Linked DNA regions of Danio rerio. The protein of the gene in region 1 interacts with the protein of each later gene in a biochemical or structural test. Links are inferred from orthologs where the notes say so. Each region holds a gene or a part of one and is shown in the gene's direction. Other genes may lie near its edges. The genes, in order: rnf114 and xaf1.

What was found.
Region 2: the proteins of rnf114 (region 1) and xaf1 form a complex in vitro, tested with the Homo sapiens proteins (2 studies listed by BioGRID). The link is inferred for Danio rerio from reciprocal best matches to the Homo sapiens genes RNF114 and XAF1.

The regions. Positions count from the first base shown.
Region 1 is NC_133198.1:3,522,499-3,526,432, reverse strand, and holds the start of rnf114 (E3 ubiquitin-protein ligase RNF114), read left to right. Parts: upstream 1-1,369; 5' UTR 1,370-1,878; coding exon 1,879-1,997; intron 1,998-3,934. UniProt on the Homo sapiens protein: E3 ubiquitin-protein ligase that promotes the ubiquitination of various substrates. In turn, participates in the regulation of many biological processes including cell cycle, apoptosis, osteoclastogenesis as well as innate or adaptive immunity.
Region 2 is NC_133190.1:31,663,198-31,667,131, reverse strand, and holds the start of xaf1 (XIAP-associated factor 1), read left to right. Parts: upstream 1-1,593; 5' UTR 1,594-1,844; coding exon 1,845-1,882; intron 1,883-1,973; exon of another isoform or gene 1,974-2,011; intron 2,012-2,344; exon of another isoform or gene 2,345-2,472; intron 2,473-3,755; coding exon 3,756-3,891; intron 3,892-3,934. UniProt on the Homo sapiens protein: Seems to function as a negative regulator of members of the IAP (inhibitor of apoptosis protein) family. Inhibits anti-caspase activity of BIRC4. Induces cleavage and inactivation of BIRC4 independent of caspase activation.

The DNA.
Region 1 (3,934 bases):
AAAAGCAAATATATCCAGATAAATACAGACTTAACTAAAACATAAAAGAAAATAAATTAACTAAAAATCTATTTAAATATTCAAGAATGAATAAAAACACGTAACCTCAATATAAAAACTTTTACAATATCAGCAGCTATAGGTAAGACATTATTTACAATAGACAGCAAGTTTTCTATTCAATTAGCTTCAACTCCTTTGCAACTATCATCGTATTTTGACATTTCTTGCTATCAATACACTGTAGCGAGTATATTTAAAAATTAAAATCTATAATGAATACCTTTAAGATTTAGTATTATTCCTTCTACGGATATGAAATTTACCAAATAAAATCAAAATATTCATTATAAATTCCACAGATAGTTTGTTTCAGTCAAAATAAATTAGCACATGATGTTAAATTCCATCTAAAACCCGATACATACAGAGATAAGTCATCCCAAAACTTCTTTTAATGCTGACATTCAAAAGACTCTGAATGATCTAAACAGAATGAACAATTTTCATCAATTTGCATGAATTTAGATAATGTATTAATACTAACATAAATGTTCAAATCAATCATTCTAAAAAATATCCTCTAGGCTTTAAGGCTCTGTTTAAAAAAATACCTTTGATTGTACATGCTTTACTAAAAAAAATCTAAATAGTGTACACAGGATCAGTTCTATGAATTCTATTTTAAATGTGAATTGTTCCATTGTTTATGAATGTCTGGATTTTTATATTTCTACCAACAAATTTTTTGAGAATAATATTAAATAATACACAACATGTGAAATAATAATTTTTTAAGTAAAAATTGCAACATATAACTAAGAATTGCATTTTTAAGATTATTCTCAATTGTGAAATTGTATGTTAAATGCTAATATTTTGATCTACGTTTCTAACAAGACAAATGCAAGAATTGCGAGGTCAGATGTTGTTTTTAGATTTTACAGGCATTTATTTACTATTCTGGGATAAAAAAAAAGCTATGTAAAAGTTAATTAAGATTTGCGAGATATATAACTGTCACATATAAGTATATTTTATTTTCTATTTGAATGTTTATTTATTTTAATGAATCGAAGTATACTTTTTAGATTACTTTTCTAAAACGTCGCCCGTATTCAAGTTTCACTCCTAAAAATGTTCTACTTTCATTAATTCTGGTAATAAATGAAAGCAATTATTCTAATTTGCTTTGGAAAGACTTCCCCCTTTGTGTAATGTAATTATATATATATATATATATATATATATATATATATATATATATATATATATATATATATATATATATATTAAATATAAATATATATGTAATTAAATATATAGTTTAGGGTAGGCTTAGAAACTTTTTTGACATTTGTAAATCATATACTATTTTCTTTTAATTTATGATGATGTAAATATCCTTATGCATTTCTTTTAAAACATTTTTATTTAAAGTTTTCATTTTTTTTTTCTTTATACTGTGACTAGATTTTGCATTGCCCATCAATAATAAAAAAAGTAACGTCAAAAAAACTTCTACGTTCTTATTTTACAGTCTGATTCAACCTCCAATCGAGTCATTTTCACATTCATTCATTCGGTCGGTCATTTAAAAGAGCCGGTTCAAATGACTCGTTTATGCATCGGAGAGCACTAGCGAGATCTCGCTTATAACTACGCACGTAAAAGACAACACAGCCACAACAGATGTAGCCTACTATATGTTGCATTTATTTGTTAGCAAACGGCTATTTTTATTTGTCGTACGTCTAATAAGAGCTGTAATGTTGTTTCTCGTTCATGTGCATCAGGAGATCAGCTGAGTTGTTGCTCCTCCCCTCACAAAAGTGAATCTCACTGGAGTTCAAGAACACGGAACACAGCGCAGCAGAAATGGCCATGCTCAAAATAGACCCGCAAACCGACGTAAACGATGCTGAAGACGACGACTTCGTGTGTCCCGTGTGTTTGGAGATATTCGTCCGGCCCATGACCACGCAGTGCGGACATACGTGAGTATTCTGGAGAGCTCATGTCTGCTAGCAGCAACTTCTCGGTTGACATGTTGAGTAGTTTAATGTTAATCCCCTCATCACCTCAAAGCGATTCACAACCTTCGTGACCTCCGCCTTAATCTTAATGTGATTGTGTTGGACACTGTTCAGTAAGTGCTGTTGTTGTGCGATTTTTTTTATAAGACAGAAACTGGTTACTTTCAGTTTTGCTTCTTGTGTACAAAACTTTGCAGTGTGGGATTGTGGGAGTTGTAGTGTACACGTAATTAGAACCGGAAAACAACACCCAGCGCCTGTCTTGTCAGATCAGATGTGGCCTTTCAATTACAAGCATTCCTGGCAAACATCAGTTAAAAGTGCAAAATAATAGCATTTACAGAGTATTTGTATTTGGTTAAGGTGCTGTAGGCAGTGTAGGGAAGGCGGTTTTTAAAATGTATTTCACTTTAGATTAATAACGTGTATTTTTAAAAAAGTTAAGTTACTCAATCTGTTTGGAATATTAATTATTAATAGAGCAGTAAAGAAAAGTGGAATCCACAAAACATTAGACATTTTTAATTCATTTTTATTTATATATCAGTTACTCAAAAAGGCAATATAATGATTTTTAATGAACAATTGAGGTAAATTGTACTTATTTAGTATTAGTATTAGCTGCTGAAGCACAGTGATAATTGAAAATGTATACTTTAGTTTGTGTAAAAGTTTACACCCCCTGCTCTTAATGTGAATGTGCTGAGTGTCAGGAAACATTTTCACTTTCGGTAAATGTTTTGCTTGAGTTCGTCAGTAAACATGGGCATCACAATCACACAGTCACTGTTGTAGGGCTGTAAAAATATAAAGAAGACGCAGTAAACTGAAGAATTTGCAGGAGCTGAAGGCCTTTTCTAAACTACAGCAGCTGGTTGAACTCTTCAGGACAATCAAATGACTCATTAAAAACCATCACAAACATTCATACAGTTGATTCAGGGGTGTGTAAACATTTCAACAGGATAGATTTAGTCAGTTATTATTTTGTCTTATATGTAAATATCTAGCTCATGTGGAGTAGTACCAGTGGTGTAGCGGACGGGCCAGCAGGGCACGCTCCGCGGGGGGGCCCCGCGTGATTAAGGGCCCCGCCTTGTTGCGATTTTTAATAATTGAAAATCCGGCAACCACAATAATCAAACCCCTGGGAACAACTGTGGTCGGAACCAAAGTTCCCAGGTCTGTGTTCTCTCAACTCCTCTCAAACGGTGGACTACTTCATTCTGATTGCTTGCCGCCGAACCACATCATAGCATATTACCATAAAGTTGACTTGATTTCAAGTCCTCCTCGATGCCCACACCGGAGAAGACTCGACGCGCTGCTCCTCGCCACCGGTTCTCATTGAAATTGAAGGACTTCCGGCTACTTTGACGCTCTCGCTGCTTGTTTGTGAAGGCTACCCCGCGTCGTCGCTCCACCCCGCCCCCCTTTCCCGCTCCTTAGTTTGTGATGGCTCCTCAGTTTGTGAAGGCTTCCCCGCGTTGTCTTTCCACCCCGCCCCCCTTTCCCGCTCCTCAATTTATGATCGCTTCCTCGCGTCGTTGCTCCACGACTCTCCGTGTCCCCTCAGTTTGTGATTTCCCCCCCATCAGTGGGCCCCATTAGTGATCCCTGCAGGGGGGCCCCCACATTTTGCGCTATGCCACTGAGTAGTACTCAAAACTAGCATTCACTATGATCCATCCTATTTTGTTGAAATTATTAAAATTATTGTATTCTGCAAGGCAGGGTGTGTAAATAGTACTCATAGTACTCTTCGTTATAGTAGTAGTACTAGTCATCGTCATCGTTATGGTAGTAGTAGTAGTGGTGGTGGTGGTGAATGATGCATAAGCTGGGGACACTTCAGCAATGTCCAGTTCATATATTCTGATGAGTGATTTTTTTTGTTT
Region 2 (3,934 bases), on another chromosome or scaffold:
TCGCATATTGTCCTAGTATTGTGTGCAGCCCTTCTCTGAATCAATGTGAAATCGATTTTTCATTCGATGCTCACCACAGCTCTACCACTCATCTATATACACATCCCCCCATACAAAAGTAAAAAGGAGAAAATTTCCAATAAGCTTCAATTGTGTGAGTAAAAATGTCTAGTTGATGTCAGAGGTCAAGATTAGGCTACTGATAGAAAGGCAAAAGGAACTCAAATGCTCACTTGTCACAACCAAGGTCAGCCCTCAAGCAGATGAGCCCCTCTGAACACAAATCATGCCAAACCTTGACATGTGCGACATTCAGGGTCAGAATTTTGCAAAACCAACATGAAAGCATGGATCCATCCATAGTAGCAAGGTAGCACAGTCACACAACGGAATCAACATTTTGCCAAAAATGCATTAAAATAACTGACTGATACACACTTCACAAATGTACAGAGACACACATTACATTTACAGAACTTAATTTAGTGGTAGGCTATATTGCAATGGAATGTTCAGATTTACTAATATCTACTGTATAATCACATAAATATCGCTGGTTACTGTATGGCTTGCATGAAAGTAAACCGCCAACCTGATTTCACCAAGTAGGACGTGTTCCTGGATAAACATCTATGTGGATCCTGGAACAACATTCCAATCAGCCAATCAGAATTAGGGGTTCGTTTACAGTTAAGTTTAGGCTTACAGTTTGTTTTATGCACTTCTGCGTAATTGTCATCCAACTATTATTTTCTGATTTTGGGAATAATTTACTGTTATGTTTGGGTTTAGGGGTAGGAAATAGGTATGGATCACAATTTTGAACAAAAATGATGTTCCAGGATCAACACAGATGTTGATCCAGGATCGCATCGTACTTGGGAAAATCATGACATGCGAAAAGTAAACAGTTAGTGGAAAATGTAATTTTTTAACACATATTTGTCTGACTGTTTAATTATAACAAAAACAAAGAATAATGATAAGTAACAATTGTGGTTATAGACCCTTTTCACATTTCCGGGTTTCTCAGTAGCAGAAAGCGTCATAGTTGGGTAATTTTAGAGCGAAGTAATTGACAAATGGCAGGCTCATTAAAGATATCAAAATGTTTTTGTTTTTTGTTTTTTCCAGTGGATTTCTTTCAAGGGTTAATTTGTTAACAGTGTACATTTTGATTTAATGCAGACTTTAATATTTGAATATTTTATTCTACCTTTAAGTAGCTATTTGATATATACTTTAATTTGATGGGTAATTTTTGTTAAAGGCAAGTGTTATAATAAACTGGAACTAATTACATTTGTCTCCTTTTTTCTATTTATGGACGTGCAGCCAACAATCTGTGTGATGCTTTCATTAAAAATGTGCCTAAAATTATCCAGGGAATGTTTACAGCATCTCAATCTATCCTAAATCTATGCTGTGAAGAATTAATCAGTTTTAAAGGCAAAAATAAACCCAAACCGTGTGTGTGTGTGTGTGTGTGTGTGTGTGTGTGTGCTGCTGATATACACACTGACATTTCTCTAATACAGATCAGTGGTGTGTACAGATATTTAGTTGCATTATTGTAACCATGGTGATGAAGAGCCGTCAAAGGATTTATGCTACCTGGTTACTGTGGACCAAATACCTCATGGGCAGGACCTTTGTATCATTTATACTAGATGAGACATAGTGCATGTTAAAAATGTCAAGTGAAGTGTCTGCATTTCTTTATCACAACACATAACAAGATATGTTTATAAATCAGAGATGTTTACGTCACCTGGTAAGTTTCGGTTCCGCTTTCTGTTCTGGATAAGTGAAAGTCCCAAGTCGTCTCACTTTCTAGTTTAAGTATGGACACAGAAGAAGAGCTTGTTTTATGTACTCACTGGTGAGTGTTTTACAGCATTTTTGTTTGGTTCTGTAAGACGTCTATTTATATAACGTTAACATAAATATCGCCGTGTTAAAAGATCACTTACATGTTCACGACGTCATGTTCCTGTCTGGTTAAGTTACACTAACAACAGCAAAACGAAAACAAAAACATTTTTATTATTTACTCAATTATAAAGGATATATTTACGGTGTTTAAAACTATGGCGAGATGAAATCAAGTAACGTTATCTTCTTATAGAGCCAGTTCTGACTGTAACGTAATATTCGACATAATTTGTTCATTTCAAATTGTATAAAATAAAACTGTGATTTGTTTTGTTTATTTACTGAATCGCTTACATTTTAAGTGAGGTTTAAGGATTTTTCCACCATTACTAATGACGTAAACATTCTCAGGTGGTTTACGTTGATCGTTAAGGTTAAAGTTCGCCCACTTCAGCCCTCATTTACTCACCTTAATGTCCTTCCATCCCTTGAGACTTTTGATGAACAAAGAATATGTGATTTAAGAGGGACCTCTTGCATATTTTCAGATAAATTTCAACAGAACTGGAGAATGTACGACAAATTGTACGCAAACGCATGTAATCATACAAAACTAGTTTGTGTCTGGTTCGCTAATGTGTTGAACAAAAGATTTGAATCATACAGATCTCTGACTTCATTCATAAATTTATTTAAAAAGATCTATCTTACTTAGCCTCACACTGTCAACTGTCTAAAAAATGCAGTTTTTCAAAAATGAAATATAAATATCCTAAATTGCATTGTCTTTTGGGCCTGTGGATTAATGTTATCTGTTATATACTGTAATAGTTTCCTTTTTCATATGTATTGCTACATTTTAAATAATTCATCATGTAAAATGCTACACATTATAATCATTGTCACAGTAAAAAATACATTAAAAAGATCCAAAATTTGGACTAAAAATGTATTCACTGGTTTTGTTAACAATGACCACTAATTATTATTATTGACTTATTCAGGCCTGTTGGCAGGGGGGGGGGTTTGGGTGGTTTGAAAGACGCACTCCTTACCAACAAAGGTCCAGAAGTTCTCCCATACATGAGCTCATTTGTCCCATTTGACTGCTATGCCATAAGAAATTGTGATATAACCCATAGAAGAAAGCTTTAACACGAAGCATAATCCTCTGTTGGCTGTCGCTTCAGTGTGACTGAGGAAAATTGAATGTGCTGGCCAGTTTGTTATTTAAATTAATGATATTTAAATGAAATAGTCTTGTTTTTAATTTAAAACTTTAACAGATTCCTAGTTTTTTTCTAATGATATATGATGCAATACATTTGTATTTAAAAAATCAGTATTGTTCTCATATTTCTTCATTCTAAATGTTTAGAAAATGTTTTTGGCACATCAAAAAGTGTTGTTATGATGACCATCCAACCAGCTAATCCAGCAAAAAAAGTGCTTAAAATGTCACTAAAATGCAACCTATTTAAACTTCCCAATTGAATAAAAAATGAGGCAAATAACTGCAAAAAGGTATTTTTAAGAAAAAAGAACCCCACCTTTCACCAGGCTGCCTATGGGCCTGTTATTGATTTGTTAATTTTATTTAATCAAGGTCACAATAAATTAATTCCACCACTCATTTTGATTTAATTCAACATGGCAACCAGTTATTACAATAAATTATCATATTTTGCGCACATTCAGAATATTTTTAAAAGGTTTCTAGGGTGTTCTTCACAAAATATTTTGTGTTTCAAAGTCATTCAAATTCAGAGTGAAATTTGTGAAAATGCTAGTGTCGAAGTTAGGATTTGAAACTACTTGATTAACAAAACAGCTTTTCCATGCTCCAATCTGTCTAATGAGCTTCTGATGTTTTCATGCAGCAATAAGGATGTAGCCAAGGCAAACTTTGACCTGCACGAACCACACTGCAAGAGGTTTCTGTGTAAATGCCCTGACTGCAATGACACTGTCCATCGAGATCAGCTGGAGGAGCACAAAACTGAACAGCATGCAGAGGTCACAACCACACCGCTCAACACTACTTAACACTCTGATCTCA